Linked DNA regions of Sus scrofa. The protein of the gene in region 1 interacts with the protein of each later gene in a pairwise test. Links are inferred from orthologs where the notes say so. Each region holds a gene or a part of one and is shown on either strand. Other genes may lie near its edges.

Region 1 (5,311 bases):
TCCGAGCTGTGCCTGGGACCTACACCACAGCTCAAGCCAACACCAGATCCATAACCCACTGAGCGAGGCCAGAGATCAAACCCATATCCTTATGAATACTAGTCAGGATTCGTTTCTGCTGAGCCACAACGGGAACTCCAGGATAATCAAATTCTTTACCAAGTGTTTAAAAGGACTGTCCAAAACTCTTAATTCTTACGTCTCACTTAGAGAGCCTATTTTCAAGTTATGTTCTTTATGGTTTTCAAGCCTTTTTAAACTGGAGTCTTTCATACTTAAGGTAATTTCCTATTATATTTCTTAACTTGTCAATTTTTTTTTTTTTTTTAGAACAAGCTCTATATTCGGACCAATATGGTTAATTCTCTTCAAGAGAATTTTAAAGTCTCCATTAGGTCTTGGTTTTCTAATTCCAAGTCAATTATAAGTAGGTCATAAGGGTATAGATTAAAGAGAAAAATTAAGGACAGCATATGATGGTAGACCAAGTTAAGCTCATTAATATAGATAGGAAACTTAATTACACTGGTTTAACCAAATTCAAACTTCTATAAAGGAAAAAAACCAGGCTCATGCTACTGCATTAAGTAAAATATTATATAAACAGTATTCAACATTTAAAAATAGCCAGTGTGGTTTCTGAAAGACTGATCATGTTTTATTGAAATTTTCACTTTTTAAGATATCATATTGTAGGGAAACACTAAGTAACTATATGCATTTTAATAGCAAAAAGTAAAATAAACACTATTGTAAGAAATAGTTCTTGAGATGGTTTTGGCAAAATTGTCAACATATGCTACATTAACTATGCTAATTTAAAAGGACACTGTCAAAGTGATTTTTCTAAAACATGGCTACATTTAAAATTTCTATTTATTTCAGAAAACAGTTTAACAGACAAGTAAAAAGACAATAGCTCTCTAATGGGAGAAGCAGCACTATCATTCTCCTGGCAAATAACCAAAGAAACCAGCTTTGACACATGCAATATTATTTTATTCTAAAAAGGAAAAGCTTAGCCAAACACTTAAAAGTACTGCAGAAATAGCTTTACACATAAACTGGCTGGCTACTTAAATTATCTAATGCCTCAATTATCTGCAACGGTATGATTATAAAATATAAAACAAAATATACCTAAAATATCTAAGAGGCTAGACAGACAATGGAGTCACTAATCATTTAGCAACTGTGTATGTATAAGAAGTTAAATTACAAACTTTCGAATGTAAAAGAACATTCTAAATAATGGGCCACAGAAAGGATGATTTAATTACTATATTACAATGGCTAAGCTTCCTGGCAAGTTGTGTTATAAACTGGAGTATTTAACAGTGTTAAGCATTTATAATTTCATCATATGGGTAAGAGAATGACTGTGTACATGTTACTGTGTGTGTACATGGGCATATAAACATAGTTCCTGAATGCAGGGGGATGCGTCTTAACTAAGGGACAAATAGGAATTTGGAAGAACTGGGTAAGGGGGGGCTACAAATCTGTATCAGACTGTAAGTGACATTTTATTAGAAAAGGGAACATAAGATTTATCAAACCTTTTCTCTATTTTTACTGGCTCATTTAAGGGTCTAAAATGTATTGTTCAGAAACCAGTTATTTCCATCAAGCTTTTTTTCTCTTTTTTAAAGTTATAGGTCCTTTCAATTTGCTTTAGCAATTTGGGATTATTTGGGGAAAATGCTTGTCAACTGTGTGAGAAACAAAAAATGCATCTATGGGAGTGCTTGGACTGGAGATAAAAATACTAAGTTCCAAAAGGAGTGAAAAAATTCAAACAGGAAAATTAAAGGACTAAGTAGTCTCAAATCACTAGATTTTCCCTCAGAAGTTCCTGTGCCCATTCTTTACGTAATTTTGTATTAGGCAAACATGATATTTCCCTGCTGTATTTCACTGTAAAAAAAAGCATTCTGCACTAAAAGGTTATAGCTGTTCTAGGCTATCCCTTTTAGAAATATGAAATGTTTAAAAAGTTCAGAAGCTATTTTCTTAGAATACTGGCAAGCATAGTTAGTAATGACTAGCACGTGTTCTGCCATTTTCCACACCAGAGAAGAATATAATTTAATGTGGTGGGAAAATATATAAGAAGCAGATTTTAAGTCTCTGGGACACCAGGGGGAAAAAAAAAATCCCTTGAAGTCTGACTAAATGGTCCTGCCCCTCATAAAGAAAAGGCTATCAATCGTGCCAAGAAAATGAGGATAAGATGTCTTTCCCCATGTTTCCTAAATACTCAAATACTCGGGGAATATCAGAGTATGTACAAGGGTATCAATGTGGGTCTCTGAATTTGGTGCTTCCTCAGTTACAAAATCAGTCTGTGTGGGTAAATTATTTATTTTGTGAAGCTATTTAAATTTGGATTTCTTAACTACTGAACATAAAATGAGAATATGGGAAAAAAATCCTTTTCAATGAATTTTTAGTGATAAAGGCTAAGCTGTTTAAAATAAAGATAAGCCTACTGGTAGTTTCTTAGGGGCATCTGTTTAGAACATTCCATTATATTTTATAGCAAAGACCATAAATAACTATTAGCATTTAATAATAAATCATCTGATGAGCAAAGATAATTATTATTTTAAAAACACTAGAAACTTAAGATGGCAAAATACTTACTTCCTTAAGCAACATTATGTAGGGAAAAAGGAAGAGCTAATAATTAGCATAATATATGTTGTCCCAGACAAACCTTACTAAAACCAGAATTAGAGTAATATAATTCTTAAAGCCAGGGAAAATGTATTATATTTGAGTAAAGGATGGGCTGCTTGAAATGAGTTAAACACTTATAAATGTTGCAGGAGGTGGTTTTTTCTTCTATAAAATTAAACCAATCAACTGGCATCTTACTCCTGTCTTTTCTGCACTATAAGCTATTACTGTTTATCTTAATATTAAAAACAAATACATATACCTCAGGTCCAATCAACAGAGTGCACTCATTTTAAAAAGAAACTTACCTGATGAACCAAATCCACTGAGGGCTGAGCCTATAGCAGCACCCAAAGAGCTACTGCTTCCAAAGCCAAGAGATGTACTTCCAGGCTGGCCAGGTCCGTGAGAAAATAAAGAACTGCTCTGGGAGCTATTAGTCAAAGAAGTGCTCCCATAAAATGAATTAGACTGCAGATTAGTGCTTGGCTGTTGCTGCTGCTGCGGTGGTGGCTGAGTGCCAATTGGCCGGAATAGACCATTTGTGCTGCCTGTTAGACTATTTGCAGTTCCTCCAGCTGCTGCCGCCGCTGTGGTAAAATAAATTTCAGATACTTCTTAAAACTACCCAGAAAACCATTTTCTATTTTTAAAATATCTCAAACAACACCAGAAAAATATTACCCCTTAAAACATCAGTTATACTTACCAGCTTGTGCTGCTGCTGAACTAATTAAAACAGGTGTTGGAGCCATTAATCGAACTGGAGCTCCAAGGCCAGTTCTTGCTCCAGGGCCAACCACTAAGGCACCAGTCTGATCATAATAGGCAGTTGGAGCTAGTACTTGATAGCCTAGATAATATTAAAATAAATGTTCACCAATGAAAATATTTATTATAGAAAACATGCATTTCCCCCATTTGTGTTTCTATCAATCAGAAAACAGAGCTACTTATACTGTAAATATAAAAATCCTTAAATAGTTACCACATAAAGACCAAACACATCTGAGAAGGTATTACTAAATATATGAAAATGTAGGATCGTACACATAAGCATTAGTTTTATTACAGCCTTGAACACAAGGCAGATGACGATCTGCATTACTCAGATCTATAGGAGTGAAGTTTCTCTCTTAGTAGCCTTTCTCAGAAGGGATCCTCATCTGAATCACAGAACAGAAAATGTCTATTTTGAACAGAAAAGTGATGTTTTTGCCAGTTTTCTCAAGGATGTATAACAAGTACCACTCTAGATGCATGGGAGAGTAAGTTAACTAACTATACAGGTCATAGGGATTTTCTCCAAGAACTTAGGTTGAGAAAGGCTGTCTTATACAGTAACAAGGACTCCAGCTCAAAAATCCAACAACCACTTGCAAAAATGTACTGGCAACCTCGGACCCTTTTAAGTTTAAATGCTATCTTTCCCATGCAAAGGTTGTTTTGATTAAATGAAGTAATTATGCTTCACAATTTCAGTTTTATTATAATGAATATGAATTAGGAGGACCAGGCAAATGCATAGGGCAAAACCTAGGAGGGGATGTAGAGCTTTCCAGCCCTCTCCTTATGGAATTAACATGATAAATTTGAGGAGATTATTAAATATCCAACTGTAATTATCAAATAGGACATAGAAACCTAGACTTTACAAGAGGTTCAGGCTAGAATTAAAAATCGAGGAGTAGTCAACATAAGAACAGTATAAATAAAAAGGATGAAATCACCAAGAAAATAAAAAGGAGGTAGGCCCTATGGACTGAAGGTACTTCACATTAAGAGGCTGAAGAGAGAAGAAACCAGGAAGAGACAGACTGAGAGGAAACAGCCAGTGAGAAAAAAGAAAACTGGAACAATGTGGTCGCTTGGAGGCCAAAGAACAAAAAGAATGTGAGTGAAGACTAAGTAATCGACTATGCCAAAGGATGCTAAAAGCCGGTTAAGAGATGAGAACCTGACCAATGGATTTAGCAACACCGAAGCCATTCTGGTAAAGATGAAAGCCAAACTGTGGTAAGTTTAGTAAACAAGTGAAGAAACACAAACAAGTACAGAAATGCTTCTGATGAGTTTTGCTGTGATAAGGACCAGAGGGGAGCTACAGAAAGGGAGCTGAGAATAATTTTTTTCTTAATCAGAAAATGTGATTAGCAGAGCATGATACTTAAGTGTTTAAAAACTTTATTATTATGAAATAAAACACACAAGTACAAAAATCAACAGTACACAATAATGACAACACACAAGTGTAACTACCATCTAAGGTGCTCAACAGAAAACTGCCTAGCAACACCTTTCATAAATCCCTGCTCTATCACAATCTTTTCTTTCCCTCAGAGTTACACAATATTCTACTTTCCATAAATACTTCTCTCTAAACAATAATTTGGTTTTAATTATTAAAAAATTTTTATGTACAATTCACCCAAGTTCTATTACAGACCTTTCAGTTTCCATTTTCAATACTGTACAGAATCTCAATGGACAAACACAATGAATTTATCCATTCTATATTTACCCTGTTTCCAGTTTGGGGCCACTGACAACAATAATGCCATAAACATTCCTGTACACATATTCTGGTATTATGTGTACATGTTTCTCCAATCTAAGGTATATATCTAGT
Region 2 (6,053 bases), on another chromosome or scaffold:
GAGGAGTGATATGAGTAATGGAGATAAGAAAATGCTCTATAGTAACTTTGGAAATCTTGATGATATAACTAACTTTCTAGAGAAAAGTAAATTTTAAGAAACAATCTTAAGAAAAGAAAGAACATTCGATTCCTGGTTCAGTTTCATTGGGAGTTTTCTCAAACTGTAAAGAAACAGATAATTTGTGTGTGGGGAGGGAAGGGGTGAATCTAGACAAAAACAATGGTAGCTAGGGGAGGGAATTGAAAGTGAAAGTCAAATACTTTTCTTAAAAAATTTTCAGAGTAAAGAGGAAAGACAAATAAACTAACACCATCTAAATAACAAAACCTGCTTAAGATGATCCACCCATGCCTCCAACATAGAGACGCAAAATTCTAGCAGTATACAAAAAAACATACAATTAAGAACAGTTTATATTGGGAATTCAAGGATGGTTCATTCTTAGGAAATCTGTTACTGCGATTCACCACTGAAAAAGCATTTGACAAATACAGTATTCATTTCTTAATTTTTAAAAACCTAAGTAAAAGAATCTTATTTTCTATCAATCTAATTCTAAGTTATCATCAAGCTTAAAGTGAAACATGATAATGATTTCCACTGAAATTAGGACTAACGGTTTTTCCTCATAACCACTATAAGTTTTTTCTATAAATAATACATATATGACAAATATAGTAACAGAGTTCTTATAAATCATAAGAAAAATATCCAAATAGAAAGATGGACTAAGAATTTATTACAAAGAAATGTAAAAAGCTAATTACAAGCTTCAAATTCAGTAATAATTAAAATAAAAAAAGCATATCAACACTGTGAAATATTTTCCAGTTATTAGATTGGCAATTTTATAAAGTATAATGCCTTTCATTGGAAAGAGTGGAGAGAGGAGGTCACATTACACACCATCAGTGAGAATATATACTGGTACATGCTTTATGAAGAGTAAGTAGGAAAGATGTATCATAATTCATAGTTGTTATAAAATGGGCATAACATTTTCACCCAGTGATTCTACTCGTGGCATTTCAAGTTACTAACAGAATAAGCATAACAAAACATCTGCACAAAGATACGCAATAACTCAATATAATATTGTTTTAATATAGAAAAATAATTCATATACCAGAATTTGGCTAAATGAGTAATGGAACAATCCTATATTCTAACATTATGTATTTGAAATCGTTTTAAATTTCTCTTTGGAATAAGGCCCAGTATATTAAGTGAAGGACGCAGGTTGTAAAATAGTATAATACAGCATGGTACAATTTTAATAAAATAAAATGTACCTGTCTAGATGCAACACATGCATGAAAATAATTTGGAAGGGCACACATACGTAAAAACTTCAACGGTGGTTAGATGTTGCGATTAAGATGGACTCTACTTTCTACATTGATAACTTCCCAATGAGTTAATATGCTACTTTTATACCAGAATAAAAATCAACAAAGCTATTAACATTTCCCCTCTTTTCCTCTAAAAATGGGGAGGACAAAATTGTAAATGATTATAGTAACTCAGAGTAATTATTAAGTAATTACTGACATGGGTAACTACATGACACAAAAATGTTACAAGTAGTTACATGCAATAAAATTTTATTTTAAAATTTGTGCCAATATAAATGGTACATAAATTTCCTCCCTTTATCTCCAAAAACTGAAAGACTAATAGTTATTATACTGTAAACTACACCTAGTATATAACACATTTGGGACTTGATGGTTGGTCAAAAGTGCTCAGCGTTGTTGTACCTTGAGGTGGTCAATCAACTGTCTGCATTTAGAAAATTCACATGAATGTCACGTGTAATACTCTAATAGACAAGGTGTTGCAAGTTCCTGGGTTTTTTTTTAAGGGGAAACGTATTCCCTGAGCCAAGAATTCCTCCGTTTCCCCAATCTGCGGCCGCCCAGCGGCAAAAGCCGCGCTGACGTCGTGCAGAAGCAATGGCGGCGAGCTAGCTTCCGCCCAAGGTCGCCGCTGCCTCACAAGGGCGTCACAGGGCCACTGCAGGCTTCGTTTGGGTGACACTTGCCGGCCTCAGTCGGCCCTAGTCCCGTCCCGCCCCGACTCCTCTCCGACACCCCCCACAGTCCTCACCAAACCCAGCCCCAACCCCACCTCCCGAGTCGGCTCCCGGCCCGTGGTCGGGGTCCGCAAGCGCGTGCACCTCAGAGGCCACGCCAGCCGGCATTCGTTCGCGCGGGCCTGACGCCATCTCGCGGACGCCGCGCCGCTCGTCTCCTCAGGATTTTCTACTCAGAGTAAGCGCGGGAAAGGGACTTCCGGGGTGGGGTGGGGGTGGGGCGGGAGCAGGGTCCCCGCCCCCCAGTCCCCTCACCGGATGGCCCGGTGCTCCCCCCAACCCGGTCGGGGCTGGCGGAGGTGGTGGGAAGGCGGCCGCTGTGCACGTGCTTGGCGGGCCGGGCACTCCCAGCCTCTCGACAGCCAGGCCTCCCGCCTCTCTGCCGCCCTCAGGGCCCTGTAGGCCGAGACCGGTATTCGGCCGCTGGACCGCGGCCTCCCTCCCCACCCACCTCAGGCTGGCGTCCCAGGAGAGCAAAGCAGAGGCGGCCCAGCTCTCACCCTCTCCTCGGGCTGCGCCCCCCAGGCCGCCCCCAGACCGCCTCGGGCCTCCTCCACTCACCATTACTGCGACAGCCAGTGTTCCCACCGAGGGACTGGAGGAGCAGAGGCTGGCTTCAGCACCGTGCTCGGGGCTGCTGTAGGCCTGCTGGTGCCTGTTGTCCGGCTTCGAGTGGGCAGAGGAAGCAGAAGCGGATAAGCAAAGCGACCCGCAGGCAGCTGGCGAGGCTGAGGGGTGCTGGCGGACTGAGGCGCGGCGAGCAGGGCGCCCGGAGGTGGCTCCTGCGCGGGGTGTGGGGGGGCTCGTCCGAGGTGCCTCAGCCAATGGGCGGCCGCGCCCCCGCCCCCCTCAGAGGGGGCTCGCGGGGCACGGCGGCGCCAGCCAGGGGTGCGCAAGGGGTGCGCGCGGGCCGACAGCATACCCCTTAGAGGCGCCACTTCCCGAAGGGCGTGCCGACGGACCCACAGATATACAGAAAGTCCCGAAAGTGCCTTAGAAGCACACCTGAAATAAGTCTGCACACTCAAATATGTGTTAAAATTAAAAACAAAATTTGAATGTGTCCAGGCTCTAGTTTCAAAATGGCGTCCCAAAGGCCCAGGAATAGCCCAATGGCGATTATCCCTATCATCAGCCCCCAAATCAATTTAAATGGCAACAGAAATAGAAAACAGAAAGACATATATGAAGAACAGGGAGGGAGACATCAAAAGTCCAGAAACTTGGATGACTTTCTTTCAAGTGTGAGGGAGATGGGGTTGGATTGGAAACATCAGGTAGGCAGGCCCGCTTGGCATTCAAGACGTTTGTTCTTTCCAGAAACAAGTTATTGAGATCAACAATTGCCAGGCACCCAAAATGTAGGAGTGAATAAAATACCCAAACGTTCCTTTGCTGGGGGTGTTCAAATTGTGAAGGGGGGGGATTTTTCTTCCTGACCTTAAAGGAAGAAGTTAGGCCTGCCTAGAGAATTCTAGAACATTCTCAAGATCAGAGAAACAGGGCCTAGAGCAAGGGCGAGCTATGGGGCAGTTTGCAGAGCAAATCACACAACTTTGGAAACCACTCCAGAACCTTATATCCACAGAGAATAACTGGCTGTAACTTATCCTCAAACTTCACTTTTGTACTGAGGATTACTTTGTGAGCTGGCAAAATGGTGGCCAACTGGTCACAAATATCTAGCATTACTGTATGATATAGTTAACTTTATTTTTAATGTGCAGCTAAACTCATAAGAAATGAAGGGGAATCCCAGGATGCCAGAGTTAAACTGAAAATCAGAGCAATAAGTTCTTGAATTAATTCTTTTCTGGCCCTGGGTATAAGGGCTGGGGTGTAGGGTAACCAGTCAACTAATTTGCCCTGGGCTTGCATGGTTTTAGCACTGAAAACCCTCACATCCTTGGGAAGCAGGTCCAATGCAAACCAGAAGACTTGGTCATCTTAGGTGTGGGCAAGGTGTTGTTAGTCTCTATAACTTGAAGCCTGAAAGTATAGGGGCAGGAAGTAAGGGTTTGAAGTAACTTAAGATAGTTGCTGGAACTGAGTACACTATGAAAAGCTATCCTCCATGAGAGACATCAGTTTAAGAAAAAGATGGGCTAGGGAAAATGTTAAACATCCAGTGGACAAGCAGGTGAGGAAGCTTGTTCCATTTCTGGGTTAAAAAAAAAAAAATTAACTCTGATAAAATTTTACAACTCTAGACCTGCATTTCACAAGTTTGGAATTTATGTTTATAGCACTTATGTAGTGTTGGGACTTCAAAACCTAGAAACTGATTCCCCTTAACCTTGGCCTTCTCCCCGAAAAAGATCCAAACAAGGTGCAACTGGAATGCCTGGCAGAAGCAAACAGAAAACCAACCTGGAGGGATGCTTCCATAAAAGGCTGAAAAGGATTCTTCTAAGAAAAGAACCCTTTAAAGTTAACCTCACAGTGAAAAATTATCAAATGCTATTTTCCCATGAATAAGAATGGCAGACAATGAAGACTAAAATGTCAGAAACTTACAAAAGAAACTTCTTTTGGCGTCTGTGTGCATGTGGATTTGGGTGTGGGTCTTTTTCTCTTATTTGGAGTCATACACACTGTGCATATTTTAAGCTGATTTTTCTACTATTTTATAACTTGTAAGCAAAGTCTAAAACCAGGAAATGTTTTCACTCTCTAATAATTCAAAGGCCTCAGGATGTTTTAACTTAGCTACCCCCTCCAATTTATAAGCTATTATTAATTGCTATTTTGGTTCTATCCTGTTTTCCTTCTGTAAATTAGATGTGTTTTTTAGATCCACCTGCATGTGTAAAAACGTTTTGCTTACCATTTCTTTGCATATCTCAGATCTTCTGGATTGTTTTCCTTGTGCCTGAAGTAAATTCTATAGAATTTCCTTTAATTAGTGTCATGTGCGGAAACTCAGGCTTTTTTCCCACTTGAAATGCTTTTATTTTGCCCTTGTTCATTGAAGATAATTCTACTGGATATATAATTCTAGGTTAGCAGTTGTCCTTTTTTTCTCTGAATATTAAACATATTCTGTTATCTTCTGGTTTCTGTTGCTACTGAGAAATCTGCTGTCAATCTAATTGCTGGTTAAGATCTGTTTTTCTTCTGTGTTCTACAATTTCATGATGATATGACAAGGTGTAGAGTTTTAAAAATTTCTCCTGCTTAGGAGTTTTTGAGCTCTCTGGATTAGTGGATTAGCTTTCAACAGTTCTAAAAAATTTCACCCATTGTCTTGCCAAAGACTAACTAGTTAATGAATTTAACCTATTTTTCACAACCCGTAAGCAATTCTTAGTTATTTTTGTTTAGCTCATGACTTTTTCAAAGGTTGGTGGTTTTTCCTTAAAACATTTTGAAATTTTCACTTAATGTAGAGAAAAAGAATTGTGATTTAAGATCAAAATTGACTATAACTATTTCAATGGGTTAAGATCAGTAGTGTCTTTCACATAAATTCAGAAATAAGTCTCTGTTGCTTCTTTATTCTGCAGAGACTGATAGAGAATGGTAGAATAAAAAAGAATATTTTAAACTCCTCTGCCAGTTCTTTTGTGCTCCTATAGCTTGTGGCTTTGGATAGAAGGCTTACAATAAGCAGTATAAACATCTCAAACTTCATTCATTTGCAAGCCAATTTCATAATTTAAATTCTGATCTCCATATTACTCTTTACCTAATTTTTTTAAAACTCGTCCTAAGCAAAATTATTTATGAAATCAGACTTATTGTGTTACTTTTTTAAAACAATGCACATTAAAATATATAACTATTAAAATTTAAAACAATATTTGTCCGTGGATCACTTCAGATCACACTGTCCCAGAACAACAGGAGAATACTGGATTAGGTGAACTGTTATCCAGTCTTAGGATATGCAAAGTTAGGTCCCAGGACCTAGGGGCTGGAGTGTCAAATGGTTCTGCATAATAAGCAAAAGTAA

What was found.
Region 2: the proteins of PUM2 (region 1) and DAZL interact in a two-hybrid assay, tested with the Homo sapiens proteins (2 studies listed by BioGRID and IntAct). The link is inferred for Sus scrofa from reciprocal best matches to the Homo sapiens genes PUM2 and DAZL.

What each region holds. Positions count from the first base shown.
Region 1 is NC_010445.4:117,923,295-117,928,605, reverse strand, and holds part of PUM2 (pumilio homolog 2), read right to left. Parts: intron 3,536-5,311; coding exon 3,392-3,535; intron 3,273-3,391; coding exon 2,991-3,272; intron 1-2,990. UniProt on the Homo sapiens protein: Sequence-specific RNA-binding protein that acts as a post-transcriptional repressor by binding the 3'-UTR of mRNA targets.
Region 2 is NC_010455.5:3,780,070-3,786,122, forward strand, and holds the start of DAZL (deleted in azoospermia-like), read right to left. Parts: upstream 3,780-6,053; 5' UTR 2,663-3,779; coding exon 2,660-2,662; intron 1-2,659. UniProt on the Homo sapiens protein: RNA-binding protein, which is essential for gametogenesis in both males and females. Plays a central role during spermatogenesis.